Alligator mississippiensis: one gene and its partners. The protein of the gene in region 4 binds, or shares a complex with, the protein of the main gene of each other region. Links are inferred from orthologs where the notes say so. Each region holds a gene or a part of one and is shown on either strand. Other genes may lie near its edges. The genes, in order: MED31, MED19, MED26 and MED23.

What was found.
Region 1: MED23 (region 4) and MED31 share a complex: the UniProt entries of both Homo sapiens proteins name them as parts of the mediator complex. The link is inferred for Alligator mississippiensis from reciprocal best matches to the Homo sapiens genes MED23 and MED31.
Region 2: MED23 (region 4) and MED19 share a complex: the UniProt entries of both Homo sapiens proteins name them as parts of the mediator complex. The link is inferred for Alligator mississippiensis from reciprocal best matches to the Homo sapiens genes MED23 and MED19.
Region 3: MED23 (region 4) and MED26 share a complex: the UniProt entries of both Homo sapiens proteins name them as parts of the mediator complex. The link is inferred for Alligator mississippiensis from reciprocal best matches to the Homo sapiens genes MED23 and MED26.

Annotation. Positions count from the first base shown.
Region 1 is NC_081837.1:9,414,279-9,422,246, forward strand, and holds the start of MED31 (mediator of RNA polymerase II transcription subunit 31), read right to left. Parts: upstream 3,002-7,968; 5' UTR 2,912-3,001; coding exon 2,902-2,911; intron 2,805-2,901; exon of another isoform or gene 2,722-2,804; intron 939-2,721; coding exon 861-938; intron 1-860. Other genes in the region: uncharacterized protein LOC132244834, read left to right, coding at 3,161-3,316, 3,848-4,033. UniProt on the Homo sapiens protein: Component of the Mediator complex, a coactivator involved in the regulated transcription of nearly all RNA polymerase II-dependent genes.
Region 2 is NC_081825.1:172,520,778-172,528,711, forward strand, and holds MED19 (mediator of RNA polymerase II transcription subunit 19), read left to right. Parts: upstream 1-4,927; 5' UTR 4,928-4,996; coding exon 4,997-5,231; intron 5,232-5,647; coding exon 5,648-5,904; intron 5,905-6,038; coding exon 6,039-6,135; intron 6,136-6,275; coding exon 6,276-6,370; intron 6,371-7,407; coding exon 7,408-7,476; 3' UTR 7,477-7,806; downstream 7,807-7,934. Other genes in the region: TMX2 (thioredoxin-related transmembrane protein 2), read right to left, coding at 65-171, 1,229-1,305, 2,238-2,351, 3,546-3,606, 4,439-4,627. UniProt on the Homo sapiens protein: Component of the Mediator complex, a coactivator involved in the regulated transcription of nearly all RNA polymerase II-dependent genes.
Region 3 is NC_081839.1:407,105-415,100, reverse strand, and holds the start of MED26 (mediator of RNA polymerase II transcription subunit 26), read left to right. Parts: upstream 1-4,995; 5' UTR 4,996-5,222; coding exon 5,223-5,297; intron 5,298-7,996. Other genes in the region: TMEM38A (trimeric intracellular cation channel type A), read right to left, coding at 95-218; SMIM7 (small integral membrane protein 7), read left to right, coding at 477-502, 577-618, 716-768, 1,246-1,336, 1,512-1,527. UniProt on the Homo sapiens protein: Component of the Mediator complex, a coactivator involved in the regulated transcription of nearly all RNA polymerase II-dependent genes.
Region 4 is NC_081824.1:114,295,192-114,302,913, forward strand, and holds the start of MED23 (mediator of RNA polymerase II transcription subunit 23), read right to left. Parts: upstream 3,003-7,722; 5' UTR 2,817-3,002; coding exon 2,757-2,816; intron 1-2,756. UniProt on the Homo sapiens protein: Required for transcriptional activation subsequent to the assembly of the pre-initiation complex. Component of the Mediator complex, a coactivator involved in the regulated transcription of nearly all RNA polymerase II-dependent genes.

The DNA of each region.
Region 1 (7,968 bases), on a different chromosome or scaffold from region 4:
TGGTGTGTGTCATTTACCCAGTAATAAAAGCATATGCAATGTTTTAAAACTAGGAAATATTGATTGTAAAATAATAGAACACTGGTAGAGAGCTTCAGGGTGGGTACAGTACCTGCACCTGAAACTATTTTTAAATAAAAATTTCAAGTTGACACTATCCCCATGGATACATTTAAAATGTCTCCTTGATATATTCCCATGGCTTTTAGCAATTTACTTAGATATTCATATTGGCATCTATTACCAAGGCACCTGCATGCAGTTCATAAATTAAAGTAATTGTTACACAAAATAGAACATTGCCTATTAATAAAAAACCCATTCCTACTTGGCCAAAGGAATTTTATGAATTAAGCAAACTTCATATTATCACTAGGTTAAATAATTCAGCCCCCTTTTTTTGTATTGCTCCCCTTCCCTCTATTATGCATTCCAAGAATAGGAAATACAGTTAACAACAGTAAAAGCCCTGTTATCCAGCACAAGTGGGGAATGGGGAGGTGCTGGGTATCTAAAAATTCTGGTTACCTGAGGCCAACAGTTTTTGGCCAGGGGGGTGGGGTAAGGGTGGCAGCAGCACAGGGTGGACATTTTGGCCAGACGCAATGCAGGGAGGAGGTGGTGGTGGCAGCACAGGGTGGATGTTTCGACCAAACACAAAGTGCTGGCAGCACTGGGTGGTGGCAGTAGCAGTGGCGGCCACCACGTGCGAGCTTCCCTCCCCACCCCAGCACCGTGTCTGGCTGGCTGGCCGAAATTCCGGTTAACAGAGTATTCTGGTTAGTAAAATGATGGATAACAGGACTTCTACTGTAATATTAATTTTTCACATACCCACAGTTGAAATTTCAACTACTTACAGTTGAGGTAATTTGGGTTTGCCAGACACTGGACAAATTCTAACTCTAGCTGGAAGCGAAGTCGATTTCCAGTATCATCTGAAACAGAGGAAGTAGATCAGAAAAAGGAAGCTCAATCTACAAAGACCATAACTAGGAAAAAGCTATTAAGGATCTGATGTCAGATTATGTTGCTCAACTATCTGAGACAGTAAGAAACAAGCAATGTATTCCCCAAAAAGATTCAGATTCGTTTTGAAAAATGGCTCTTGCCAGTTTTTAAAAGTTGTGTCAAAAGAATCGTGTGTGGCCTTGAAATTGAAAGGGAAAAATGACTACTGACTGACCACAATGCAGAACCAGGGGCTAATGAAAGCTGCATTTAGTTTTCCCTTTGAATGTTAGCAATTTTTTACCTCTTACCTGCATGACATGAAAACCTCACTCTCTAATTTTGCACCAAGACTTTAACAAGAGCTTGAGACATGGGTTACTCTGGAAAGAGACCAGTTTTGATTTAAAGCAGTGATTCTCATCTCAAGGGGGGATGACTCTTTGAAGGGTGACAATGAGATGTGAGGAGATGAGTAGATAAACTCAGACTAAAGACTCAGCCACTCCCCCACCCCCAATGCCATGTCCCTCTGCAGGGAGATAAGACCTGAAATAAATTAGTTTTTGAAGTGGGGTGCAGTGCAATTCACAGAAGTTATGAAAGGGTACCTTGAGTCTAGAAAGGTTGAAAATCACCGATTTAAAGACCTCAGCCAATAGGGAACCTTTATGTTAACTATAGCAACAATTAATTAATAAAGGGTACACTTTACTACGAGTTTAATTTACCTAGCTTTGCCTGACAAAACACTAGGTCTCTTTCTGCCGGACTGACACAGACCACCATCAAATTAGCTCTTAACCTTCTCCAAGATAAGCTAAACAAATTGAGTAGGGCTGCACTGATAAAGATTTTTTTGGCTGATACCAACGGCTGATTATTAACCAGCCATATCGGCCGATACCAACCTGATACTGTCAGGAAGTCGGGGAGGGGGGTCAGGGGGGCAGATTAAGGTCTCCACAGTGAGGGAAGGAGTGGGGCAGGGGCAGGGGCTGACCAGCCAGGACAGTGAATGCAACCTTGGGAGTGGGGTGGAGCCACAGACGCCTCATCGGGGGGGGGGGGGGGGGATGTGGCCCCCTGGATTTGTGTGCACGGTGAGGGCAGGCTCTGGAGGCCAGGGGCTGCACCAGCCTCTTCGGAGGGGCACTGCACTTGGGGTGGGTGGGGGTGGGGTGAGAAGCAGCAATACAGGGAGGGGTGGGCTACAGCCACCCCAAAATCCACATAGCCACCCCCTCCCCAGCACTGCTGATGCCCACCCCGCAGCCCCATCTTGAGTCAGAAAACCAAGGGTAGCCTTGAACATCACAGACTAACCAAAGCATCTATACACACAGAGCAAAGCAGACACAGCACTGGCTTTTGGAAGCTGAGGCTCATTTCACAGCACCTGGCACGTGTGTGTGTCTATCTGTATGTGTGTATCGATCTGTACATGGGGGGGGTCTGTATATAGTAGGGGTATCTGTATGTAGGGGAGGGGGGGTGTATCTATCTGTATGTAGGGGGGTGTGGGGCTGGAAGTCGGGGGGTGTATCTGTGTGTGTGTGTGTGTGTGTACGAAGCATACACCTATATTTGGGGATGCGCACGCCTGCGTGTAGCTATAAATAGGGGTGCACGGGCCGTGTGCATCCATATAGGGATGCACGCCTGTGCGCACACTCACACACCGCCCCCCCAGCACAAGCCGTTGCAGGCCGAGGCCCCCCCGGGCGGGCCGGCCGCCCTGGATCCACTTCTGCCCGCGAGGGCCAAACCCCGCCCGCCCGCTCCCCGGGACCCTCCAGGGCTCCCGCCACAGCAGCGTAAAAGCAAGGCCGGGACCCCGCTCCCGCAGCCAGGTAGGGCCGTGCAGCAGCAGCAGCCACCGGCGGCATCGGAATAGGGGTTGTGGTTGTGGTTGTGGTTGGGGCGGGAGCGACAGAGCCCGACCCTCACCTGTCTCCATGACGACCCCAGCGGATCGGGCCCCGCGGATACAAGATGGCGGCGCCCCGCCCCACCCGGAAGTCGCTCGCCGGCCCGCCCGCGATGCATGGCGGGAGCCGCCGCGCCGGCGCAGACGTGGCCTCGCACGGTTTCCCGGGTAACAGGGCCCCGCTCCGCCCCTAGGAGCGCGCCGCGGGGCTCGCCCGGCCCGTGACGTCACTCGCGCTCTGTTATGACGTCCCTCTTATCCCTAGCTGAATCCTTCCCAATGGCAGCGATGAGGGGGTTACTAGTGTGTTTCACCGCGGTGGGAGCGGCGCGTGCTTTGCAAGCCAACGCGGTTTTTAAAACTTCCAAAACAACCATCCTTTGTAAAAACTGTTTGTCGTTGTTGAAGGGTTTCCCGTCCCGAGAGAAACCCGTGGTATGCGGGAGGCAATGTCCTTTCCCCCTTATAGCGTCCTTTCCCCCTTACCCCAGGGAAAGATCAAGCGTGAGGCCACGAAATGAGTCAGACGCGCCGCAGTAAAGCAGACGGCAGAAAGCTGGACTTTGGGGTTGCGATCCGGGGGGTGAGAAACACGCCGGCAGCACAGTTTCAGCGATCAAAGTTCAGCTTTATTTCAACAGCCTCTCTGTGCACACCGTGGACTTGACTTGCATGCTTTCCAATGGGCTTGCCAAACATTTGAGACATTTTCTGTCAAAAAAACCCCAAAAAAACAACCCCATAGCCAGGCAAAACATTTGTTTCACCGTTACAACTTACAGGGGCAGATTTTGATATTATATATTTTCTGAAGAAACATAACAAATACCGTGTGATCACGTCTATCCCTCGTGACCGATGAGAAGGGTTAAGGTTCTGCCCCGTGTTTACTCGTATCAAAACGTACCAGGTGACCCAGTATCTGCTGAATAAACCAAGAGATTTTAGTTAGCTTTTTCTTTCCAGCTGTTTAAAGCTGCAAGGACGATGGCAGAAACATTTCTGCAAAAGGTGGGTCGTGTAAGCGATCCCAAAGAAATGAGGAGCTTAGCCACCGAGTGGGTCCATGAATCATTTCCAGAAGTCGAAACCGTTTCCACAGAGACGTTACAAAGTTGGATAGAAAACAACCCAGAGGAATTGCTCATTCTGGTAAGTGATCCATTGCATTGCCTAAAAGCAACTTGTCTGCAATTAAAAACAACATGCATTGGTGTCCTGGTCACTCTTCTTCATTTTAAGATGTCAGCGTGTGTGCGTGTGCATGTGTGTGTGTGTTTAAGACAAAGTTCTTTGGGTAGATGCAACATCTTTTATTAGACCAACTAAATACTTGGGAAAATTTGCAAGTTTTCAGGTACAAACAGCCTTCTTCAGGCATAGGGCGGATCTGCTGGTGTTGTGTGCGCTCTCCTGGGTAGAACAGAAGCCAACATGCAAAACGCAGGTCTGTGCAATGCAAATTCATGGCAGTGAGTATCCGACGGGGGGTGGGGGAGGGGGGGGGAATGGTGTCAAAAACACAAATACTCAGCAAACTCTCCCGGTGCCTGAAAAAGGGCATGTGCGCCCAAAAGCTTGCAAGGAATAATTTTTCCAGTTATTGAGTTGGTCGAATAAAAGATATCATATTTACCCAAAGAACCTCATCTGTGTCCTTAGACCAACACCGCTACAACCAACACCCCCAAAACGTGTGTTTAACAAATTTTGCATAACCTCATTGTCCATGTAGAATTTTTGTACTTTACAACTATTCTCCAACTATTTAGGTTGGTCTAATAAAAGATATCAGATTCACCCAAGGAACCTTGTCTGCCTATGTCCTTAGACCAACACGGCTACAACATACACCCGTGTACTTTACGTCAGCATTTTGCATTGGGATTCTTTGAGAAAACAAGTCTCTTACATAAAGGTATTTTAGGGTGTTTACTACCATAGAAAAGCAGCACCTACTTAACCTCATTTCTGGTATATGTCAGTGGCCGCTATGTGTGAGACTACACTTAGATTTTTCACATTGTTTTACCACAGAAGCAGCATCAGTGCTAGATTAAGTGGTGGGATAGCCTGGGTGTGATCATTTCTGCATTTAAATTGCCACTAATACTTCTAGCATTGTGGGCACTGGCAAAACACCACTTTTTGTAACATCTGGATTTTTCTTGGAGATCTCACAGCCCAGATCCCACCCAGCCCAAACTTAGTATCTGAGATTTAATGATGCATAGTATCAGCAGATTGTTTTCCAGGAAAAAAGTAGAGTTACAAAGGGTATATATTCAGTCCCTGGATGGAAACTGAGGCCAGATAAGGTGACCTATATCTTTGGATTTATGGGATCAGGGTTCTAGGCCCAGTTTCCCAGACAGATGTGTTTGTAGATAGATGAAAGATTTATCTAGTATTTGCAAGACATCAATTTATTACAAGCTGATGCTGCACCAACCATGGTTGACAGCGTCCAGTTTGGACGTAAGAGGAGAGAAAGGGTGGGATCTCAAGTAGCTGTAAATCCCTGTTTAAAAGCAGCCAGGTCCTCCAGCCTGTTCCTAAATGAACGTGAACGGTGAAGGTCAACCAGTCTCTGCAGCGAATGCTGTATTCCTCAGAGCTTTGTCATAGCCAGACCATTAATACATGAAATTCTCTGAAAGAGCAGAATGAAGCTGCACAGTTGCACCAGCATCCTGCACAGGAGCCCAGCTTCTGAGGTTGCACACTTATTCCAAAAGTTACAGTTCTGCCTACTATTGCCATGCATGTTCTTCATGTCTGGGCAAAAAATCTACCTCCATGGTATAATGCTGTCACGCTACTTTGATTTCATGAGTCCCACTGTCATCATATTGGATGCCTCCACAGCAACAAAGCTATATACAGACTCACCTAGAACCTGTAACTGATATCACATTGCTAATTTTGTATGTTAAAATATGTTAAGTGTCTTAGCTAGCAATTTTCTATAATCTCATCTATTTCTATCTAACATGGATTTTTTTCTTCCTCCTGGGAATTGGATTATGAAAGTGTCCAAAAATGACTTGTTCTTAGCTTTTTTTAATATAATAGAGTTGCTTTTTTCAGATGAGGTTTCAGTGGTCGTGGAATACTACCATTATCACATAGAAAAGTACGAAGTCACTCCCCGGTAAACACAGACTCCGGGCTAAAAGCAGAGATCAGACAGATCCCACGTGTCAGCTTTTCTATTCTGAAATGTGATTCCTCTCCCAGGAATGACTTCAGAGAAGAAGACCCTTCAGATGGGTTGGTCAGAGGAATGAAATTACCATGTAGTTTTGCCCAGATTGAGTCATGCATCTCAATTTTGGGCTATCAAAGCTGGGAACAAATCAAAAAGTCACAGGAAAAGAACAAAGGTTACATGTTCTGGGAAAAGATTTTGAAATAAAAATCAGTGTAACTATATAGGTATGAGAGGCCTGAACGTGCGACTGTGAACCAGGAATTTTAAGTGCTGACATGGAAACTCCATGTGACTTTAAAAGATAAATTAAACTCAGTTTTTCCATCTACATACATACCCTATATCAGTCTTATCATTTGAAATCCAGTGCCTCAGTTGTTGCTCATGCCAGATCAATGGAAGTATATGTGTAAGTAGAGGCTGCAGACCTGGGTGCTTCAAACCCTTCGAAGGTGCTAAATACTGTTTGCTGTGAATTTTTGGTCCTAGAGTGCCTTCTCTGTGCCACGTATTTAACAAGCAGGTAGAAAGCTAAGTTCAGTGCTCTATAGAAATTAAAACCTGTAGAAGTCTAAATTGCATTATAGCAAGGACACATAGCTCTCGTATGTAATTGCCACAGCACCAAGTGGCAACAAAACTTGAGTTCCTCCCAGGTCAATATAACTCTTCTGTTTAGTGATATGCAAAGACATAGCAAGAGATCTTGCTGAATCCCACAGGTGAAATCCAACCCTGACTGAAGTCCACGGAAGCTTTGCTATAGACTGGAGCAGGGCCTGTTTCAGTTACCATGTATGAGCTCAGGCTAATCCATGCAGAACATATTTAGTTAAGTTCTTATACGTGATATAAGTTATTATATGAATAAATACATTCTATTTTTGAGGTCAAGGGACTGACAGGTAACATACATTTTAAAAGCCTATCCTGTGATATCTTTTGCTAAAACCATCTTCATCTGGAGCTTGTTAGACCCAGTTCTGAGGAAGCTTCATCACATCTGGTTGTCCAAAAGACAGGGATTTTGTGGCTTTTTTTTCAAACACAGGGACATGCGCTCATATAACTGATACTTTCCAATTTCAGAAAACAAAGGGGAATGAGAAGTGATTCTGAGATTAAAGATGCTGCATTTTTTAAAGTAGGGTCCTAAGATATCTTAGGTTTTCTTTTAATGAGTTATAAATTGATTGTTCCCTCCATCTTGTTGAAAACAACAGAAACAGCATTCCCTAATGCTTATTCATCCCAAAGTCATTTCTCAGCATGTTTTTTTATGAAATAGGGACAGAAATCACTGCCTTCCAGCTTAATAAAAGCAGACTGTAAGACCACTCTGCTGTCTTTCATAGTGAATACTTACTGACAAGTTTCATTTTCTAGTGAGAATTCTATAAAACTTGTTCTGGGTGTTTTGTGTTTTCCAGCCTGCCCTTATATTCACCAAGTTCACAGAGAGTGTTACAAAGAATAGATCAGACTCTACCAGCTTTGTCCATGATGCCCCTACTTTGAAATATGAAGCATGATATTTAATCTCAGAATCACTTCTCATTCCCCTTAGTTTTCTGAAATTGGAAAGTCCCAGTTATATGAGCGCATGATCCTGTGTTTGAAAAAAAAAGGCACAAAATCCCTGTCTTTTCGACAACAAGACTTGAAGCTTCCTCAGAGCTGGGTCTGATAAGCTCCAGATGAAGATTGTTTTAGCAAAAGCTATCACAGGATGGGCTTTTGAAATGCATGTTACCTGCCAGTTCCTTGACCTCAAAAATAGAACTCAAGTGAACAGTTAAGCCTTTAATTAAATATGCTCTAACAATCGTGTCAGTCAGTGATAACTATGATCTTGCTTCTATTGAGTTACAAT
Region 2 (7,934 bases), on a different chromosome or scaffold from region 4:
CATTCCCCCCTCCACCCCCCCCACCAGCCCCAACTCACCAAATCCCCAGTTGGACGTCACTCACTTGAGAGAGAGGTCAGCAAAGATGGGTGCAAACGACTGGCACTCACTAGACCAGTTGGCAAAGAACTCCACAACCCATGTCACCCGCTTGTCCCGCTCCAGCTCCTCCTATAAGATGCAGCAACAGATCAGTTGGAGACCAATGCTCCAGGTCTGGCCCCAACTCTACCAGGCCAGCACCCTGGTGGGTCTCCCTCCCTTGTGTTATAGCGCAGCCTGCTGCATAGGCTGAAAAGGGGGCAATCACAGGCTCAAAGCTGGTCTCTAAGGGCATGTCTGCCCTGTTACTCAGCCCTGCCCCTGCTATTCCTACCCTTCTAGCCTACCATGAACACCACGTGCCCTTGGAGGTCGGGGCAGGGGGTGTGGCCCGCGTATGGTGAGTTTCTGCAGGCAATGGTGGCACTGTCAGCAGTGGGAGTGTGGTAGCAGTAGGCGGTGAGCTCCCGCAGGCAGCTGTGGCACTGTCAGCGGCAAGGGGGTGGGCAAGCGCCGACCATGGTCGGCAACCACCCACAGGCAGCACTGGCAGCATCAGTGGCAGCCAGCGGCGATCAGGGACCATCTGCAGATGCCACTGGCAGTGTCGATGGGAGGGGAGGAGAAAGCAGCAACTGCCCACAGGTGGCACCGGCAGTGTTGGCAGCGCCTTTCACAGGGGCTGCACCGCCTAGATAGGGGGTCCTTGTGCACCTGTGTGCACCCCCTATGTGTTGCCAATGCACCCTACAGTTAAACACCCTTAAACTCATCCTTGGCAGCAGGCCTGTTGACCCCTAGAAGCTCTCCTAAGCATGGCTCCCATCCCCCAAAGCATTCACCACAGTATTGCAGGATCTTGTCTGCTAGCACCCAGCTTCCAGATGTTCTGTGTGTTACTTCCTAGCTTTACTGCCTATCATCATAGCCAAGCACAGGAGAGACAGGTGGTGGACAGGCAATTCCTAGAAGAGCTCCACTGGCATGCTGCCCACTACCCGTCTCTCCTTTTGTGCTTGGCGTGTATATGACAAAGCAATGTAAACAGAGACGAACAACTTATGTGGTAGGGGTAGATAACGGTGACCCTCTAAACAGCAGTACAGATCTACTGCAAGCCAACCCAGCCTATACGCACTTCATGGCTTGGAGAACAGGGGGAGGCAGGGAAGCAGGAAATACTCACATCAATGGTTTTGTCACTGAAATACTTGATGTACTCAGGGCCCATGTAGAGGGGGGGCTTGCAGGTCATCAGAAACACTAGAAAGGCATACACATGGCATACACATCATGAATGGGCCAACTCTGTACAAGCCTCCACCCCAGGAGCAATTTGCTCAGTCTTTGCACTGTTCAAAGCTGGAGGGTGCTGGACCTGTCATACTGGAGCACGAATTGGGGAAGTGGCAGCAGCCAACCCTGGTGAGGCTGGTTTAAAAGCATCCTGCTTTTGAGCCAAGTGGCAGCACCTCCACCTGGCACTTAACATCAACTGGAATCAAAACACATTTCATGATAGGGAAACTGAGGCACAGATGGTGGAGGAGCTGTGCCCAAGCTCACCAAGCAGGGACAGTGGCACAGCAAGGAACAGAAGAAAAGAGGTCCCAAGTCCTAGCCACTTTGCTATGCACCAGAAAGAGCTGCCACCCTACGTCCTGAATTCTGCATAATGGGCAGGCTGGCAGCGGTTATGCTGCATGTGCAGTGCCTGGTGCAATAGGCACTATCTTGGGCTGGAGCCAGTTGGTGCCACTATAATTCAGACAATATTAGCAAGCAAGTCCACTGATAGGGGCAAAGGGCTGATATGGAAGGAGTGGATGCCCTCTGGGGCAGCCACTGCTCCAATGCAGACAGAATAAAAGCGGGAAGACTTCATCAAGAGGATGATGTTTGGTCCAAAGATGGATCACGGATGACACTTAAACCTAAAGCAATGCTGTCACATGCCCTCTCTGCCCCTGCAGAGAGGAGAGGCAGGACAGCCCCATAATGGCCGGGAGCTGGACCCAGACATTTTAACTCCCCATCCCATCTGCATCCCTGGGACAGCCCAGCCCTACTGAACCAGCCACCACAGCAACAACCAAGGAATGGGCTGACAGGCAGAGGGACTTTGTCCAGAGGCCACAGTTCAGACTTCTCTCAAAGAAGGCATTTCAGAAGCCCCAATGGGACCTGGGTCTCACCTATGCACAGCGTGAGGTACAGCAGCCCCATGCGGATGTCCAGCCGGAAGAAGAGGATTGCATTGGCCACTTTGCTGAACATGAAGATGTTCCCTATGTGCTGCTCGATGGTGACTGGGGGGAGACAGAAAGGCAGGGGTCAGCAGGAGGGCCAGGCACTCATCCCTGGATACCAGAAAGCCAAGAAGCTTGAAGGAGAAACAGTAGTATTGCACCCATTAGCCAAGTTCCTTTCCATTCAGACCCAATATTTATTGTCCCATCACCTCCCTAAACCTCACCCCATAGTTTAGGGATATAAACATCCTTTAAAACAAAACAAACAAAAAACCCTATCCATTTAACCTTCTCTAATTATATTGGTTAAATGGTTAACACAGGGGTGGGCAAAATGCGGCCTGCCAGGCCATTCTATCTGGCCCATGGGGTCCCTAAAAAATTTAGAAAATTAATATTTATCTGCCCCAGCTTCCTGTCATGCAGCCATCAATAGCTTGCCCAAACTCAGCAAGCAGCCCTACGCCCAAGATAATTGCCTGCCCCTGGGTTAATCGATAACATAACAATTGTAACACAACTGCTGCTGGGAGCTGTGCCCACAGCTAGACAACGGGCTCCCAAGGGAGGTGGTGCTGTCCCCTACCCTGGGGGTCTTCAAGAGGAGGTTAGATGAGTATCTAGCTGGGGTCATCTAGACCCAGCACTCTTTCCTGCTTATGCAGGGGGTCGGACTCGATGATCTACTGAGGTCCCTTCCGATCCTAACATCTACGAATCTATGAATAACCCACATGAAGTCCCCTGTGAAGGAAGAGGTAATTGCTTAATTGACGAGTTGAGTTATTAGACTACCTGCTGTTTTTCTGGTTAGCCTCATGGGCTAAGGATACTAGTTCCCCTCACCTGCCCTTCCTGCTGGGGCAGTGGAAGCTTCCCTTCCCTGCCAGATTGTACCCGGCCCTGTGCTAAACAATAACCAGTAAGCCAATTAGTTATCACTGGGCTTATTGGTTAAACAATTAATCATTTAACCTTTCACATCCCTACCACAAACTGACCCCCCCCCCCCACACAATTCCTCCACAACTTCTCCTGTGCCCTCTGACCACATGCTCTGGGCCTGCCCGCCCTCCTTCCCCAAGCAGTTCCACAGACCAGTCCTGGGGGCATGAAGTGGAGACCCAGCCATCCCACAGGCATCCAGAGGAAATCGCCCACCCCAAGGGCAGCACAGGGAGTCAGCCCCATGCCAAGGAGGCTCCTGCCCCAGGAAGAGGAGCTGCAAGGAGGGAAACAGGAGACACTCACTGGATCTGCGGTTCTTCATCATCACAATGGCACTGAGGAACATCAGGATCTCCACCTCCCGCTGAAAGAGACTGTGGAGTGAGCATGGGGCTGGGACATGGCAGCAGGGGGCTGGGGGCAAATGCAGGGATGAACCAACAGAGCACAGGCCTGGGGGCACCTGTGGAGGGCACGGAGGTGGTGTACTGGGCCAAACTAACACAGCACAGGATATACGACATGCAGAGAGCACTCGCACAGGATGGAGGGGAGTTCTGGTGTGAACCAGTACAGCACAGGACTGTAGGCATCTAGGCCAGCAGTTCCCAAACTGACAGATTGCATGCCACCAATTTAAAATGATACAACCTTAAGTACCCCCAGCAAATTTCAGTACCACCGGCAGATTTCTGTCCTACAAAGCAATGATAATAAATCTGGTAACAGGTGCCATGGACAGGTTGGCTGCATACCACTGGTGGTACCTGTACCACAGATTGGGAATCGCTTTCCTAGGCTGAACCATCCCAGGTGAAGGGAGAGGAGGAAGGAGGGGCATCAGGCTGAACCAATGCAACCCAGGGGTCCTGGGCAGACCGCCCTGCACGGAAAAGGGGGCCAGCCGCAAGCATCAACCGGGACAAGCTCCGCCTGGAGGGACCCAGCACAGGCTGACACGCACACGACCTGGTGCCAGCAGCACATGCCACCGGCGTCCACTGGAGGCAGCGATCACACCTGGCTCCGGCCTTATCTGGCGTGCAGGTCTCAGCCCGCCGGCACCTGCCCCATTGTGGCACGCAGCCGCCCGCAGCCCCGGTCTGCTCCGGGGCAAGGCGGACACCCCGCCGCGAGGCGCGGCACGGCACGGCACGGCCCGGGCTGAGCGGGGCCTGCCCGCGCCCCGCACGCACCCAGTCGAAGTCGCAGGCGTTGCCGTCCTCGCGCTGCGTGGGCAGCCCCTGGCATAGCGGCGGCACCTTGCGAGCCAGCAGGAAGGCGGTGGAGAGCAGCGCCGAGAGCAGATAGTAGGGCCGAGCCAGCCAGCGGCACAGGCCAGGCACGGAGCACAACAGCGCCAGCAGCGGCGCCACCACCGCCATCTTCACCTCCGCTGGGGCGCCGGGGGGCGGGGCGGGGCACTGAGCCACGCATTGGCCAGCGCCGCCGCCAGTCACCTGCCATCCCTCCTCCTATTGGGTAGCGCGGGCTCGGGGCGGCGGGACTTCGCTGTCAGGGGGCGAATCGGGTGCTGGGCCACGGGTGGCGCCATCAAAACGCGCCGGAGAAGCACCAGTAGGACCCCAGCAGGGGGTGGAGCCGAGCGCAGCGACACGCCCCACGCGATGGGCAGGGCGCAGGCTCATCCAGCGAGCAGGCGCGAGGCGGAGCTTGGGCAGTTTTTATCCAGTCAGGGAGGGGTACGGGGCCTCCCACCACTCCAATGGGCAGAACCCCAAGCCGCTAGGCCAATGGGAGGAGACCGCGCAGGGCAGGCTGGGATGATGGAGAATTTCTCGGCGCTCTTCGGCGGAGCTGAGCCGCAGCCTCCCGCTGCGGCCGCCGCGCTGGGCTTCGGGCCGGGGAAGCCAGCAGGGCCCGGGAGCGCGCCTCCCCCCACCGCCGCGGCGCCGCAAAGCGGAGAAGACCACTCTCGCAAGACCGCGGCCTCCAGTGGCCCCTTCTATCTGATGCGCGAGCTCCCAGGTAGAGGGCGGGGCTCGCGGCAGGTAGCCAATCCGGGGCCGTCAGGCGGGCTGAGGCGCAGCAGCCAATCCGGGTGCTCCGATGGTTGGCTGGGCAGGCCGGCCGGCCTATCACCGCATCTAGCGGCGGTTTCGTCCACGGGGCGGGGCGCTCCTTGCGTGAGGGAGAGGGCGGGCGTTCTGTATTTTTTGTGACTGACAGCCAGTGACCGAGGAGGAGGGCGTGTGGGTGGGGAAACAGCCTCTTACCCGATGAAAGGCCGCCGCGGCACTGGGGTCCTTCCTTGGGAGGGGGCGGTTCCTACGGACTCGGGTCTGTTGCCGGTTCCCCCCGGCGGCGGCCGCCGCCTGCCTGTGGTGGGTGGCATGGGCCGGTCAGGCCTCGCCTCGGCTGCGACGGGCACCCTCGGCCCACAGGCAACACGGAGCTGACGGGCAGCACCAACCTGATCACGCACTACAACCTGGAGCACGCCTACAACAAGTTCTGTGGCAAGAAGGTGAAGGAGAAGCTGAGCAACTTCCTGCCCGACCTGCCGGGTATGATCGACCTGCCTGGCTCCCACGACAACAGCAGCCTGCGCTCCCTCATCGAGAAGCCACCCATCTGCAGCAGCTCCTTCACCCCCCTTACTGGCACCATGCTCACGGGCTTCCGCCTGCACGCTGGCCCGGTGAGCCGCCCTACCCTGGGCAGGGGTGGGCATGTGGCCGGGGAGCAGGGCTGGGAGAGCGATGTGGGCTTGTCTTGCCCCGCCCCGTGGGAGCGGGAACTCCCCGAGCTGACCCGGTCCTGGTGTCTCCTCAGTTGCCAGAGCAGTGCCGCCTGATGCACATCCAGCCACCCAAGAAGAAAAACAAACACAAACACAAGCAAAGCCGCACTCAGGATCCTGTGCCCCCAGGTAAGGGCTGCAGCTCACAACCCCACCTGCCTGTGTGAGAAAGCAGCAGCCCATCCACCCCAGTTGTCTTCTGAAAAGGTCAGGCCCTGCCTGGACAGGTAACTAGCCTGTCAAACCTCAAACTGTGGCTCTTCTTGCAGAAACCCCTTCAGACTCTGACCACAAGAAGAAGAAGAAGAAAAAGGAGGAGGATCCAGAGCGGAAGAGGAAGAAGAAAGAGAAGAAGAAAAAAAAGGTGAGTGGCAAACTAAGAGAGGGGCTGGGGGTGCACTGGCTCCACTCCACATGTCCGTGCCCAGCTGTGCTTGCCGTGCTGGGGTGGGACAGAGCTGCAAATCTGTCTAGCCTAGTGATTCTCAACCAGGATGTTGTGACAACCTTTCACAGGGTGCCACTGGGAGAGAGGAGATGAGTATGAGCTCTTCTAACTACTTCTCTGCCTTCTTTTGCTCCTGCCCCGACACTCACTGCCAGCTGCTCCTCTTTCTTTGCAAGCCACTAAAATAAACACGTTGGCTTTTGGAAAGAGGTGTTGCTCAATTTGCAGTTGTGGAAGGGTGCCTTGAGCCTAAAAATGTTGGGGACAGTTAGTCTAGCCCCTTCCCTGTGACCTGTTTTGCTCGGGAGTCTCCGTCCTGGCATAAAGCCCCTTTGTAGGGGTCTGACTTAAAGGCTGAGGAGGCTCCAGCAAGAAACAGTGTTTCCCATCTGGATCTGGCTGAAAATAAGCTCCTTCCCCTTCCTCATTCCTCTGCACAAATGGAAGCACAAAAACCCAACAAACTGAATTAGAAAATACAGCTGTGGGCAGTGGTGGAGAGAAGAATTGGTAGTTCTGGCTGCCTCATATTTCCATTTTATTCTTTATTTTCCATGCACCCTGGTCTCCTGCTGTGAGGAAGCAGTAGTGCATCCTGGAAATTGTAGTGTTACCAGAGGTCTTATAGGAGGATAGGAACATGGGCTGTACTTCCATGGTCTCCTATAGGGCCCTGTAGCAGCATTTTTAAACATCTCCCTCCCCAACCCTCAAATGTTTTCCATGAAAGTGAACTTCATGGGGAGAACTGGAGTTATAATCCCAGTTTTTAATGAGAAGACTGCTTGGGTCCCTTCTGACCCTACCAACTATGAAATTATGACTGTTTGTTTTTAAAGGAAAAAAATCTTCCTCCAGCTTCAGGGCTAAGCTATCATAGTCCACTGGTAACCTGTACAGTCTCACTGTGGATTCTCAGGGAAGGGTGTCTGTGTCTTGTCTGTTCTTCCTAGAACCGTCACAGCCCAGAGCACCCAGGAGTGGGGAGCTCGCAAGCCAGCAGCAGCAGCAGCCTCCGGTGAGGGCAAGCACGACCCCAGTGCTAAAGTGGCTCTGGGAAGATGCCTGCTGCAGATGTGGGTGACTGGGAGAACAGTCCTGGAGGCAACACTGACTGAACTCTTCTCCCAAAGCGGCTTATTGGAGGGCACTTGGGCTGCCTTGCCTGGGGGCACAGACTGTCCAGACACAAGCCGGCTGGGAACATGGACTGAAATGGAGATGGTACACAACCTGCTGCCCTGACCCAGAGCCAGGCCCAACTTTTTCCTTTTTTTTTTAAATACTCCTGACTAAGTCAGGTGCTTTCTCCTTTTTATTCCTGTTTTAATTAAATCTCTGCTTGGGAAGAGGCTGAGGGCCATGTCTGACAGTGGTCTGAGCCATGCTGCTGTTATCTGATCTGCAGGACTAGGAGATGTCAGCAGGGTCAGGCAACACACCTGCCTGGCTGAGACTGCTAGGGAACCCTGCAGTGGAG
Region 3 (7,996 bases), on a different chromosome or scaffold from region 4:
CCGGTGCGCGGCGGGGCGGTCCCGGGGGGCAGGGCTATTTCGGAAGGCCCCGCGCCGGCCTTACAGAGGCAGGAGCCTCGCGGCGCGGACTGACCTGGCTCGTACTTGAGGTAGAGCACGGACACGATGAAGTAGCCCAGGTCGAAGAGCGGGAAGACGGGCAGGCTCGCGAAGGCGGCCGCCAGCTCGCCCGGCTGCAGGAGCCCCGACAGCTCCATGGCCGCGGCGGAGCGCCCCCCGGCCCGGCCCGGCTCTGCGCTGCTCTGCGACGCGCGCTCCGCCGGCCCGCAGCCCCGAGGGCACGAGGAGGCGGTGCCGCCCCGCCCCCTGGGGGCCCCGCCCCGCCCCGCCCCGCGCGCTATGGGGCGGGGCCGCCTGCAGCGTCTCGTGGGCGGGGGGCGGCGCCACCTGGCGGGCGAGCGCGGATTGGCAGGCAGGGCGGGGGTACTTCCGGTTCCGGTGCCGCGGCCGCCACCATGATCGGGGACCTGCTGCTTTGCGGGTACCGGCCGGCCGTGCAGGCGGGGGGGGGATGGCGGGGGGCGGGCCGGGCTGACGCGCTGTCTCCCCCCGCAGGACGCTGCTGATGAACGCGGGCGCCGTGCTCAACTTCCGGCTGTGAGTGCGGGGTGGGGTGGGGTGGCGTGCCGGGTGCAGCGCGCGCTGGCTGGCGGGCGGGCGGGCGGGGGTGCAACCCTGTGTCCCGTCCCGCCAGGAAGAAGAAGGACACTCAGGGCTTCGGGGAGGAGGCCCGGGAGCCGAGCACAGGTAAGGGCGGCCCGCGCCCAGGCGCCCGCTCGCGCTGCTGCGCGCGCACTGCAGCTCCGCCCCGCCCCGCCCCGCCCGCCCGCCCGCAGCCCACGGCCGGACCGACAGCGCGGTCAGACGCTGCCGCCCCGGCCCCGGCCCCGGCCCCGCTGGGTGGGACACGCCTTCCTTTCCTTCCGGACCAGCCCGCCCCGGGCCCATCGCGTGGCTCGTGCTTGCGCCACAAAGGCTCCTCTTGCCTGCCGGGATGGTGACGGGGAGCCGCTGGTCACGGGTCTGGCCGGTGCGCCGGCTTGCCCTCGCGCTCGCGTCGCCGAGCCCCTCCCTACCTGCGTTCTTCTCTCGCTTCTTTTTCTCGGTGGTCTTTCCCCTGGAAGGCGAGGACGGCGTTGAGTCAGCGCCGGGAGCGCGTCAGGCGCCGGCGTGGGGGTGCCCCGCGATTCAAGTAAACGCTTCTCCTCTCCTCTTGCTTTCCAGGGGACAACGTCCGGGAATTCCTGCTGAGTCTCAGATACTTCCGAATCTTCATTGCGCTCTGGAACATCTTTATGATGTTCTGCATGATTGTGTAAGTAGAACTGCTGCACGTGTTGCTTTAAAGGGGCAAAGCTACTTACCTTTGTCACCCGGTGAGACTTTTCCTAGTGTATTTGTAGTTAAAACACCCAAAACCTGAGCCAGGCCAGCCCCGTTGCGCAGTTGTAGCCAGCTGTCACCTGCTTCGTCTGTGTTTCATCCACTAGGTTGTTTGGCTCTTGAACGGCATGGAAGCGTGTACCGGGCGCAGGTGTTCTGTTGTGGCTGGGAAGAGGCTTTCGGCTGGAAACGTGACCGCTTAAAGTAAAATGTTGCAATGTTTTCAAAATACCAGTGTGGAATTCTGTGTTTTCTTTCTTTCATGAGAGTACCTAGATGTTACAGGGACAGGACACGCTCGTGCTTTTCAGCAAATTGTGAAAGGACGTGGTTATAAGAACAACATAGCATACTGTCAAGGGGCGGAGGGGCACTTTCATGGCTAGGTAGACCCAAACTGACCCTCCTGGACACTCGCCTCACCTAGATGTTACTGACTCTTTGGACTCTTCATGTCTCAGAACAGGGTCCCATCAACTCTGAACTAAGAAAAAACACCTTGGACCACACGCGCACTTCTTGCTTGCCGGCCTGCATGCTCGTTGTCTCAAGTAGTCTGGGCCGCCGCCTTGATTCTCAAAGCACAGCTCTGCAAACGGCACTGGTGGCCAACAGCATGATGCCTGCTCGCTATCTAGTATTATAATATTGTTTGCCTTTTTTTTTAGATTTTTTCTTCACTCATTTGAAACTCCTGGTCTTTTCCTGCCTTTGATTTCAGTCTGCCAGTATATAACATGGTGTATATATGCAGCATTTAAAGAGACATTTCTCTTGACCAAAAGACAAATTTTGACATTTATAAAAGGCTGTTTTCTTTTTTTAAGTGAAGCAAGCTGTTACAGTGCAACTTAATAGTTAGACCAGCCATTTGCTGCTTAGTTTTCTTTTGGCCGCAGCAATGACCTCAACATTTGGGTGCTTGGGGGGCTACCTAATGAAGAAATAACTGCAGAGGAGAAAAATACTGTTTGTTACATCAAAGACCATAGTTGTCTGTAAACTGTTCCAAAGACACTACCTGCAGACTTTTTGAACATGAAGTTAGTAGTCCAGGGGCCACCAGAATCAAGTAGTCTTCTAAAGTTGGTAACACACATCCTTATATTTGAAATGAGGAAGAACGCGTGCTCTGTGCTGTTCCATTTACTATAAAAGGGGCCTGGAGGCTCAGGAGACGTTCCAAGAAACTTGTGGGTCAAAAAAGAGAATTCATCATCAACAGAGGTAACAAATACTTAAACCAACTTCTAAGTGTTCTGATGACGTAACAGATTGAAAAGAAATAAAAAAATACATGTTTTCAATCTTTTTTTTTCCCTTGCATTTTCTTTTGGCTTTCCACGTTGTTTGGTAATAAAGTACTCAAGTAAACATTTGGTTTAAATTTGAAGAGTGGTGTTTGTCAGCCTGCTTTTGAGCTGTTATTGCACTGTTTTGATACCAGTTCTATTGTTCATGTTTCTTTTTGTGAAAAAGTGATAAATGTAATTGAGGACTTATAGAGACTGCAATTTAAATATCAGTTAATTAGATGGCAACTAGTTTTATCAAGTGGTGCGCAAAATGCCAAAGCGCATCCTCAGCTTCATACATCTAAAACAGTCAATACATGTAATGCAATCAAGCTTCTTCAATCAGTGTTGATGATTGAGTGTAATTGAATCTTTGGACCAGTGCTAGAGCCTTCAAGAAAAACAGCTCAGCTATGGCAGGGAACGTGTAACTAAGCAGTAAGAACACGTTTATCTGAGGGTTAAAGCGGGTGCTGTCTTGTTCCTACTCTGAGCACGAGTCAGCTTCATCCTAGAAGAACTTTGTTTGCGGTAGACTGTCCTGTAATTATGACTGGCTTCCCCTAGCATTTATTTTTATTAAGTTGATATTGGTGTGCCTCAGCCAGCAACTTTGACTATGGGCTGACAAAATAAATAGGGAAGGAAAGGGGTGGAGGGTGTGGGTGTGGGGGAAACATTACCTGACCCCACTTCTATGTTTCTTTTTTTTAAGCAAGCATCTTCAGTCACGGGCTCTCCTCTGTGAGCAGCTCATTGCCCGCTAGGCACTTTAGCTCCTGGACTGGAGAGGGATTTAATGGATTGTACCTCCAGTTCAGTCAAGCGTCCAGTTCTAGGCAGGAGCAAGCATGCAGCCGCTGCACAAGCGCTGTGTGCTCACAGCCGTTCAGGTCTGCGAAGAGATGCTGTCCCGTATTACCTGAAATGCTGATGTCGCTTGGGAGGGTCGTTGTAAGCCAAAGGCACAGCATAATCTACCTGGGAGGATTGATGGGAAAAGATCTTTGTAGAAATGCTAGGCTAACTCTGAGCCCCGCCTTGTCTATTATCTACTTTGATCTCTCTTGTGCTGTATTTTATCCCTTTCCCCATGCTTTCTGTTGATACTGTTTACCCTTTATTTCTGTATTTAATCGTTTTCTAAAACAAGATGTAAGTAAGGATTTGAGTATTCACTTCCACATGCCTAGAAATGCCCCTCCTCCAAGGGGAGAGTTCTTGTACTCTGGGGGGGGGGGGTTACTGCGGGAAGGGAAGGCAAGGCAAGGCAAGGTCCCGGCAGCGGGAGGAGCCAGGGCAGTGCCACGGCGTAGCTCTCTGCATTCGCCCTCTGTAAAGATGTGGAATAAGCTGCTTCAACCCCACTTGCTCAGTCACTCCCCCGCGGGGGTGACGGGTGCGTCCGGGCCCGGCGCCCCGCATCCGACGCGAGCGGTGCCAACCCGGGGGAGCCGTGCCCCGGTGCAGACGGAGCGTGGCTCAGGCCGGACGCGGAGTCGGGGCCAGGACGACGGCGGGATCCGGCCGCGCGTGGGCAGAGCTCGGCGGCTGCGCCAAGCCGAAGGCAGGGTCGAGTTGCACCTTGCAGACCGACTGCAGCGGAGGCGCGCTGCTCGGGGCCCAAGGGCTGAGCGGCCGCTAGTTGTGAAGCGGGTCGCTGCTTTTCCCGGCCGTGCCGCAGAGGGGGCGCGAGCTGCCAGGGAGCAGCATCGCCTCGCAGGGGCGGCCAGGCCGGCCTCGGGCCACGCACCAAGGCGCCCGCTCAGGCGCAGCGCCGGGCCGGGCTCGAGCGGGCCGCAGCGGACGCACGGGACCGGCCTCGGCCTGGGCCCGGGCCCGGGCCCGGAGGCAGCAGCAGCGGCACCCGGCGCTCGAGGCAGCGGACGTGCTCCCCCGCGGGGCGCTGACGGCGGAGAGCTGATGCGGCGCCCGAGCCGGGCGGGCAGCGCGGAGCAGGCCCCGCCCCGCCCCGCCCCGCCCCGCCTCAGGAGCGCCGCGCCGCGTCGTGTGCGCGGGGGGCGGGGCGGGGCGGGGCGAGACGAGGCGAGGGGTGGCCCCGCCCCCGCGGGGGGGCCACAACTGAGCCCAGGGCGCCCCGCCCCCCCGCGCACGCACTGGCTCCACCCCGTCCCCCGCGCAGGCGCAGTGGCTCGCCGGGCGCGCGGCCGCTTTGCCCGCCGCCGCGGGAGCGCAACGTCACAGGCGCGCCGTGCGTAAGGGCGTCGGGCGTGGGGTGTGTCCCATGGTGCCCTGCGCGGGGCTGGCTCCTGCCCACAGTTGAGTTCGGCCCCGAGCGGCGCGGACGCCCCGGCCCGGCCCGGCCCCGCCCGCCCCGCCGACCCCGCGCGGCCTGGCCCGGCCCGCGCCCCGCGCCCGCCCGGCGGCGGCGAGCATGCGGCTCCGGCTCCGGCTCGCCGAGGAGGCCGCCGCCGGCGAGTGAGGAGCCGCCGCCCCGGCCCGGTCCGGCCCGGCCCGGCCCGTCGCCCCCGCCCCGGCCGCGCCGCCCGCTTCGCCCAGGCAATGACAGCGGCTCCGGCGCCCTCCCCGCAGCAGATCAGGGACCGGCTGCTGCAGGCCATCGACCCGCAGAGCAACGTGAGTGCGGGCCGCGCGCCGGCCCCGGCCCGGAAGCGCCTGCCCGGGCGCCGGCCCGTGCTCCGGCTCCGCCCGGGTCCCGCCGGGCCCCCGCGCCGCCCCGCCCCGCCCGCGCCCCCGCCGGCTGCACGGGGAGGCGGCAGCCGTGGCCGGCCATGCGGCGCCGGGCCGGGCTGCGCGCCCTACGCGAGGCCGAGGCTCCGGCGCGGCCTGCGGCGGCTCCGAGCCGGGCTCGAGCGGGGAAGCGGCGCGGCCCGGGCATGCCCCGGCCTCGCTCGGGCGGAGCTGCGCCCTGCGGAGCCGGGGAGGCGGGCAGATGGGGGCTGAGGGGTGCTGCGCTCGTCCCGGGGGAGAGGAGAGCAGCCCTGGTCTCTGCTTGGTCTTTATCCTTTCTGCAGGGCGCTAAGAGGCTTATCGCCCGGTGTGAGGATGTGGTATTAGCGTAGCGAAGCCGGCGTGTTTTACGTGTAACTGGATTTAACTGAAAACTACTTCTTGGGTTTCTGCCCCAAGTAACTCGAGGGCTTTAAGCGCTGCCGTCCGTCTCTGCCACAGGCGCGCTCCTGCTCCCGCGCGCGGCAGCCCTCCTGCTCAGCTCGCCAGCCGGGACGCCGCTCGGGGGGTTGCGAACGAGGGCGCAGCTCAGGACCTCCGTCGTAGGTGGTTTCCGACGGCCCGCGCGCGGTGGGGGCGTTGGGACGGGCAGGCTTGAGCCCTGCCTGCCGCAGGGCACGTGAGGCTGGCACTTCAGTCTTGCCAGGGTCGTGAGTGCTGGGCCCTTGAAGACCGCAAACGCGTATTGCCGTAGCAAAGGCTAATGGCGTCTTCGGGGCTCTCCGCTACGCACGTGTCATTCTGCCGCGTGAAAGCTGGAGAAAAATCGGCCCGATACCTGTGGTTCTCGAGTGCAATGTTATACACCTCTCATCTTACATGAACTGCAATAAAATAACTCTAACATGCCTGAATTTCCGATGGGTTAAAAAAACCCAAAGAAACCCTGTGTACGCAGGGTTTACCCTTGCGTCTCACCTAATTGTCAGTTGGTGTAGATGTTGAACATAAAATACCTGCAGCACGGTTTTCATAAGGGAGAAAGTTCAGTTTAGAAGTTAGTACTACCTCAAAACCCTGGATCTCGGTGTAAATTATGAGCACCTTTAGAGTGGCATCGGAGGACTGGGGAAGGGCTTTTTGTGCCCAAACGCTTGTCTAACATCCCTTCCAACAATGTAGGTTTAATAAGAGATATTACAATGAAGCTTGCTTTTCTCTGGACTGTATGAACCTAAGAAGTGCAGCAGTTTCTCTAACTGTTGGAGCTAATTGGTGCTCATAATCAGAAAATCCTGGCAAAGAAAAGCTTTCTAACAAAGCATAGGTTTTGAAGGATTAATTTGCTAGGAGTTGTTTAATCACAATAAAAATGAGTAGCGGTCATTCGCATTCATGTTCTTGTGTATCAAATCAGTCTGACCCCAAGGCCTAACTTTAATTGAATGATTCAGCTGTGCCGGAATAATTTGGGGGGTTGCAGGGAGGAGGACTGTCCTAATTGGCAGATATCCCACTGAAAGGTGAGCTATACCAGAAAAAAATTCCCTTGCCTGTGGAGCAGTTTTGTGTGGGGAGCTGCTAGTATGAACTATCCTGGGAAAATAACTTTCCTGGGTTATAGGCTGTACCCCCATTTAGAAGGATTTGCTGATATATAGATACCAGCAAACTCACTCCAGTGTAGACATGACTAGAGTCATGGCTTTAAGGACTTCTCTGTGCATATTCTTCTTTTTTTTAACCTGTTATCCTAGCTGGACACACATGTGCATGCATGCCTGTGCACTTATCTGAAAGTCTGGTGGGGGACTTCAGCTTTTACACTTTTGCTTCGCTCGTTATACTCACTAGGTTGGGAACAAGGTGTTTCATTTACATACACGTTTAGTTTAACACTGAAACCTGTTCCACCAGTCCCAGAGAAGTATACTGAGATCTAAATGTTGTGTATAAATATATATACATTTCCCCCTGTTTCCCACCCACCCCAGGATGCATATAAGAAATAGATTATACAGACGAGCATTGGCTCATCCAGGGGCCTTCCCACTACATCAAGTTCTCCATTCCTTTTAATTAGGCTCATTTTACTAAAAATGCTGTAAGGACTCTAGTCAAATAGCGGGTGTCAACATTCATTTAACTGAAATGTTTGTAGATCAGCTACTGTGATTGGTACATAGGGGACAGAAAAGTAGGTGGGATCTTTTCCATTCTGGTTGTAACGTGTTGTAGAAGTGTCTGCAACTTGTATGTTGTGTGAAATGTTATAGAGAAGAGGTTCCCCACTGTTGCCCTCTGTTACTAAAAGTAGCGATATTTTTCTTTAGCGCAGGATGCACTGAGAAACCAGACATCCACTGAGCCGAATCCCTTACCCTTCTCTTCCCCACCTGTTTTTATAATGCTGTGTTTCATGTTTTTCTGAGGTTGGGTAGTGATATCCATGAAAACAGATTTATTAATCCTTGATTGGCAAACATTTATTGTAAATCTAAGGTTTAAGTTCCCTGTTCTTCAGCTACATAGGGGTCAAGTCCATAATAAACTTGCTAGTTTCTGGTGGGTAAATATATATTGCCATTTCTCCTTGAGTTTAAACATGGAAGATAAGTAAGGCAGGAGGTATGAACTTGGGGATT
Region 4 (7,722 bases):
GCCCAGTGTGTGCTCCAGCCAGACAGCAGCAGCCAACACTGCCTGGCGCGGCAAGCCCAGAGCCGGCACAGAGCCCAGGCTGGCAGTGGGGCTGGGTTACAAGTTGGTGCTGAGTGTAGGGAAAAGCGGCCCCTTGGTCGCCCAGTGCCCGGCGCCCTGTGCTAGAGCCGCTTCCAGCCCACATGGGGCTGCCTGTGCCTGCTCCAGATAGCCTCATGTGGGCTGCAAGCGCCTGCAGCAGGGAGGGCTAGCCATGGGGTGGACAAGCGGTCGCTTTTCCCCATGCTCAGCACCAGCTTCTTCCCTGCCGGCAAGCAGGGGGTTGGGGCTGTGCGCTGCCTGCTGCCTATACCGCGGGGCTGGGGGGCATTGGGAGTGAGCAGGTACAGGAGCCAGCTTCTTCCCTGCCGGCGAGCAGGAGGTTGGGGCTGTGCGCTGCCCGCCTCCTGTACCGCGGGGAGCGCACAGAGTGAGTGGGAGTGAGCAGATGCAGGAGCCAGTGGAAGCACAGGGCCCACATGGGTGTCCCAGGGCCAGTGTCGGTGGGACCCAGAGCAGGGTGGCAGAAGCGCAGGGTCTCAGTCAGCAGGGGCTCTATGGAGCCGGGCCAACTCCCCACTCTCTCTGCTGGTGAAGCCCAGCCTGGTTCCACAGACTCCTGCCAGCCTGTGCCTCGCTTTGGGCCTCACCAGTGCTGGCCCTGGGACATTGGTCCCAAGACAGTGACCAGGGGGCAGGGCACCTATCAAGGGGCAGGGCTACTCATGCAGCCCTTGACAGCCTGCCAAAACTGGCTAAGTGGCCCTCTGCGCGAAATAGTTGCCCAACCCTGCTCTAGATCTTGGCCAACTATTTTTGCTTCTGCCAGAATTCAACCTTTTCTTTTTGATCTAATGTCCAAAGCTCCTGCGTGGGCTCTTGTGGTCTCATGCCTTCACTAATATAATCCCCACCTGTCTGGTCTTGGTACCAGCCACTCTCCTTAAAACTAGTAAAAACTGCCAGTGGGCTCGTTCTCCTGGCTTGCGGCTGCAAAGGAATCTCTTTACTTTTTACATTCTTTACTGGCACCCCTTGCTCCCCTCCAGCTCTGAACACCAAAACCTTAATCTCAGTACAAATTTAACTTCAATCCACATGATCCTGAGCTGAGGAAAGCTTGTTTTCTCTCTAGATAAAAGTGTGTGTGTGTATGTTTATACATATATGCATACACATATACACACATTTACATATCACACACACACAAATCTTGTGTGTCTACATATGTTTGTGTACACACACACACACACACGTATATACTTGAGACCACTGCTCCTTATTTATTCTGTCATCTGCCCCCACTGAGAAAAGTCTCTCCATCCTCTCTGTAACTGCCTTTCAGCCATATGAAATACATATAGCTTAAAAAAATAAGAGGATGGATGGAGCTGGACCATTCTCAGTAGGGCCAGATGGCAGAACAAGGAGCAATGGTCTCAAGTTGCAGCAAGGGAAGTTTAGGTTAGATTATAAGGAAAAACACTCTCATGAGGAGGCTAGCAAGGCACTGGAGCAGGCAACCCAGAGAGGCACCTTCCAACCCTAATTTTCTATGATTTTATGACTGCATGAAAACAGAGAGAAAGTACAAGCATTCCTATAATCCAAGTTCCCTCACCACTTGGGTTAGGAAAGCTTATGCATTTTCTGGACAGAGATGCATATTATCTGGGGACAGAGTTGTACCGCTACCCAGCACATCCATAGGTGGCAGATAGAGGAATGACCTTCAGGAAATGTTAGCTGCGAAATAAGCAGGGGTAACTGGTGAACAAGCAGTCATGCAGACCACGCAGTGGCAGCACCCCTAGGATGCTTTGAAAGTACTTCCAGTACCCTGAAACCTTACAATGACAACAAGAGACAGAAAAATGGGGCTGGCAGAAGCAGCTTGCGGTGGAGCAAATCGAGAATCTGGAGCCACCTGCACTGCATGGAAACCTGTGCCAGAGCTGCAGCAGAGTCTGTGGATCCCAGGTCGGCCTTGTCAGGCAGCTTTGGACACACAGATAAGAGAGCTGTGGAAGACAATCATCCTCCACTGTGAAGGAGTACCGAAGACACAGACACATATGTGCATGTGTGTGTGCATGCAGCTATGTGTGCACGTGCACACGCATATGCACATGTATGTGTGCATCCATGGGTGTTCATATGTGCGCATACGTGTGCGTATACATGTATGACGCGTGCCGCCTTGAGGCCCAACGACTCTATACTGAGGCAGAACGGCAACAGTGGAGGAGGAAGACGGAGACCAACCTGGGGCTGCGAATCCCACTGCCCTGTGCAGCAACATGCCCCCGTTGCGGAAGAACCTGTGCACTCAGGATGGGGTTCCTCACTCACCTGAGGACCCAGCAAGCCCCACAGACGTCATCCTCGACTCCGAGGGACCGCTGTCTCCGATGCGTGTATGCATATGCCTAAGTGTGCGTGCGTGTATGTGCACACGGGTTTGTACGTGTGTGCGCGCATGCACATGTGTGTATGGGTTTGCATGTGTGCGCGCACACGTGTATGTATATGTACACGTGTACATGCATGCATGAACATGTGTACACATACATGCACACGCGCATCTCTGTCTACACGGATAAGGCCCCGTCTCAGTGCGGGCCCCTCCCCGCGCACAGCCAAGGCCCGACCCCGGGGCGCACAGCCCCGCCCCGCCCCGCGCGAGGGGCCGCGCTGCCGGCCCGGGCCACACTCACCACCACCTCCTCGAAGATACTCTGCAGCTGCGTCTCCATCGGCGCCATCGGGACCGCCATGGCCCGGCGCGGCGGAAGGGCCGGCGCCGAAAGCGGCCCGGCGGCAGCAGCGCCCGCGCCGGTGGTTCCGCAAGAGGCGCCTGCCCACCCGCCCGCTCCGCTAGGGGCGCCTTCTCGGCCTAGCTGCGCGCGCAGGCTCAAGCTGTGCAGCCCGAAGCTGCCGCCGCCGGGGGAGGCGGTCCGGCTTTGTGCGCGGTTAATGAACACGAGGAAGCCGAGAGCTGGCCCCTCCCGGGCACTGACCGCAGCGTGAAGAGGCCGAGCACTGCTAGCTTCGAGTCCTCCAGGGTGGCCCCTCCCCCAGACTTTTATCAGCCTGTCCTATGGGGGCAAGAAGCATTTTGACTCCTCTCTCCCAGGAAGATCAGCTGCTCTCGGGTCCTGGGGTGCTCCGAGATCCCTGGGGTGCAGGGTGGGGCCCCTTACCCCCAATTCACGAGACAAACCCAGGGATTTCAAGCAGGAATCCCTAGCGGGGAGATGTTTCTGCCTGGACGTGGTGGGGCGCAGATGGGGCCTGCACGAACAGGACAGCGTGGGTCCCATGGCAGCCAGAACCTTCTTGAAGAGGCAGCGAAGGGGCTGCAACCTGGCACACTCATGCTGGATAGGACATAGGGGAGAACGTACAGAGTTTTATATAGAGAAAATACAGAGTTTTGTGGGACATTTACCCCATGTAAGATGTTGCAGAAACAGGAAACGATCTCTCTCACACGGATCACTGAGCTGTGTCCAAACAAACTGTAGGACATGGGACCAAATCATCTTGCTTTGGCAAGAGGCTAATACTTTGCAGACTTTGCTGCTCCACTTACTAGCCATGCTACATGAAGGATTTTGGGATGGAACTGCAATGCTGCAAGCTGGAAATGTTATTGACATCTTGGGTGTGAATGAAGACAGATGGAGAGAAAGCGCTTTGGATAGCAAGATGATCCTAATCTAGCCTTACCAACCTTTTGGAACTACAGGCTAAAACAGGTGGGCAATTATTTGGGCCTGTTAGGCACAGAGGGAGTTTTTGTGAGCTGTTGCAGGCCAGGTCAATACCTCCCCTTGCCCTGCCACAGCTCACCAAAACTCCCTAAGTGGCTCCTGAACCGCTGGGCAGTTGGGATGGGGCAGGGAGCAGGACTGGCAGGCAAGGCCAGGGTCATGAGGCAAAATTGCAGGTGGGTGACGGTGTGGGACCAGGGCCAGAGCAGAGCCATGATCCGCTGCCTACAAGGCCCTGAGATGGGCACAAGTTCTGCAGGTAGGGGCATGTGGGGAGCAAATGCGGCTCTGCCCTGGCCCAGCCCTGTGCTGTCACTGCCCCAAGATCCTGGACCTGGCCCCAGATGCAGCCCCATCCCATCTGCCTGTCTTCGTGCCCTGCCCAGGCAGGTCCTGACCATTCTCCATAGAGACCCTGAGGTCACTGGGCAGTGACAGTGCAGGACTGGGGCCCAGGGTAGAGCTGTGATTTGCTGCCTGCACACCCCTGCGATGGGTTCCAGTTCCAGGCACTTGCAAGGAGTAGATCATGACTCTGCCCTGGCCCGAGCCCAGTGTTGTCACTGCCCAGCGATCCTGGGGTCTACGTGAAGACTATGTGGGACCCTCATGTGCAGAGAGTGTGGCCAGGTGGATGGGATGGGGCTGCGAGCAGGCGACTCCTGCCGAATTGTTCTACTTCTTTGTATGTACCCAGCCAAGAGAACCATTTTAACAAGTGAACCACTGTTTTGTCTGTTCCCAGATGCCACCCTTACAATGGTAAGGTATAGGCCACCCATAACAAGGGCTTCCTATACCCCCGGGGTACTAAAACCTGAGCTACCTCTTCTGCCCCCATCCCTTTATCAATTCAATAAAGAATGTTGTCTCTTACCTCAAACTGCATTTTCTGATCTGTGAGCTCGGACTGTATCACCTCTCTGTTTCAGCTAGCCACATTGCTTCCACAGACATGTCAAAATGCATCTTCCTGCTGTTGCTCTGCCTGGAATTGTCCTTGACCAATCAGGCCTTGTATATCCAGTGACTCTTCCATACTTTCTCTTAAAGTTTCTTTGTCTCCCTTTTGTCCTGTAAATCCCTCATCTGGTCAGCTGGAGCATCAGGGCCTTTGCAGCATCCCAGGTTCTATGGTTACTTCCTGCATAACCTTGATATATGGCCTATTCCTGCCTAGTATCAATGGATTTGGTAGGTTTTTAGCTAAACCTACCAGCATGTCATACGTTTTTCCAAGGACCATTAAAGGAATACTTTGCCTCTTATAGGTTGTAGCATCTCCATGCAAACATATCATTGTTATCGCCTCACAGGATTCTCCTACCCCAGGCGGAACTAACTCAGTTCACACCATGGTGTGGGTGCAACCCATATAAACTATTGCAAGGAATGTCAGGTCCCCAGATCTGCTTGCCGGATGATAGGAGGCTGGTGCTGCTGGCTGGGGCCAGCGGTAGCACTGATCTTCCCGGTGCTGGATGCGGGCTGTGCCCAGCGCCAGTCCCAGGCGGCAGCACCAGCCTCCTGTCATCTGGCAGGCACATCGGGGGCCTGTACCCCCCGGGAAGAGTCCAGCATGGCCCTGCAGCTCTCCCAGGGGTGCGGGCAAGCCCCCAATCTGCCTGCCGGATGACAGGAGGCTGGTGCTGCCAGCTGGGACCAGCGCTGGGTGCAGCCTGTGCTAGAAGATCAGTGCTGCTGCTGGCCCCAGCCAGCAGCCCCAGCCTCCTGTTGGGGCCTGCACCTCCGGGAGGAGTCTGACACAGCCCTGCAGCCTTCTGGAGGTTTGGGCGGGCCCCCAGTCTGCCTGCCAGATGACAGGAGGCTGCCTCTGCCGGATGGGACCGGCACTGAAGCCAAGTAAGCCTGGCTTCAAAACTCGAAACGTTTAAAAAATTTCAAAACATTTTGAGTTCCCTTGTCTTGTTTTGAAGCTGTTTTGAAGGCTTTTGTTTCATTTTGATTTTGCTGTTTCGAGCTCGAAAGGCATTGAAACAGCTTCAAAACGAAACACTGGGCAAAATTTCGCACAGCCCTAGTAATCACCTGCTTTGTCTCTTGACAGAGCTCTATATGGCATCTATGCCTTGCCTATTACTAGGGAACCCAGCTGATAGGCCCACTTGACTATCCCATCCTGCTGCTGTGGCCATCCTCTGGAATGCTTCAAGGTATGCCTCTGGGTCCTCCCCAGGAATCATCCAAGTCATGTGGAATTCCTCCATTCTTCCTCTCGGTGCTCTACCAGTTTCCATCATTTTCTCATTCAGAGCCAGCTTTTGGGCAAATAACAGCTTATGGGCTTCATTTTCTTCTGTCCTAGGTTTCATTAGCTCATCTATTTGGTGTTGCTGTCCCTGCAAAATTTGCAGGATGGCCTTGTCGTGGAAACACACACAGCATACTTTTGGGTCAGATCAGCAGAAGCTTTTATTCAAATGAAACTGCAGCTGTAGGGGGGAACCCCAAAGTGGCATGGATTTCCCAAGCACTTGGAATGGGTTTCCCCCCAAGAGCAAAATCAGGAAGCTTATATACTTTTTAACAGTTCACATGATCATATAGTGGAGTTTGCTAGAAAAAGCAGCTACAAACACTAGCTCATTACTGCTTTGCTGTTATCAGGATGGGAATTATGGGGGAGACAAGGTTAATTCACGAAGCGAGAACTAACACTCCCTTTTTGCCCCTGGAAATCAGAGTTTGTACATACTTTTTTCTCCTCTCTTTGAGGCTGCGGTGAGCAAAGCAGTTGCAGAGGAGTTACAAAGAACAAACACTTTCCCTTATCTGCTCTACTATGCAGAACCAGCAATTCCCCACAAAGCAGTTATGTCATCTTATAACCCGTATGATCAAAGTTTAAGGCATTTATTTTTTTTCTGATTCCACAGTCCCCCCTTTGAGACTATTTAGTCTCACTTTAGCCTTAAACTTTTATTTTCATGAGTCCCTCTATTTCATTATGCAGCCTTTTATGTTTTCTTTTAATTTGCTTACACTTTTGTAACACCATTATTCTAGACTCTGTCGTGTGTTTTTTTGCCTTGCTGAAGCTTCTCCTGCTGGCTTTTACGCAGCAGAGGATCAGTTGCACTAAGACATAAAACATTGTCAGAACTATCAAGACAAACAATATTCCATACAGGATTTTCTTGCCAAGGGTTCTTAAATTTGGGAACCAGGAGGTTAACCAAGACCACATTCCTTTCATATCTCATTGGTTAATTTGGCGAAGTTCGACAACTTCTTTTTCAATAATTTCAGATTGATTTTCAAGGGCACTAGAGGCATTAGGTGTATATACACAGCATTCAGACTTTATCAGGGCACATACTTTTCTTTTACTGGCTAGTATATAGTTTAGAGCAAGTTTAATTTGCAAAGTCATTTGTCTCATTTCTTTGATTTCTTTACTTATTTCACGGAACCCAATGGCAGTGGCATTGGCTATTTTTTTAAAGGATACTGCAACCTTCTGTATTTCAAACATAGCTAAGCCTGCCCCCTAATTGGGGAACATTATACCCCCAAATCTTTGGTTTTCAGTAATTTTGCGAACATTGTGAATTTTTCTTTTTGGCAAATGTGATTTAATTATGAAAGCAGGGTATGCGGCAGAAACATAACACGTTCCTTCCCACCCGGAAGGAAGATTTTTATAAGCTTTGTTTTCACTTACAAAATAATGACCAGCCAGTGCAGTGAAGGTGGTGCTACATTGAGGTTTCATCATCCATTGTGAATAGCACCCAGAAAATTTACTCTGGGGGGAGTAATTAGATATCCAGGAACCATTAGAAAGCCAAGCACCATTTACTTTAAATTTTACTTCATATTTGCTAATTCCTACTGCTACATGTGATTTATTACAGGTCCAACAAAATTTTTCAGGAGTAGCATA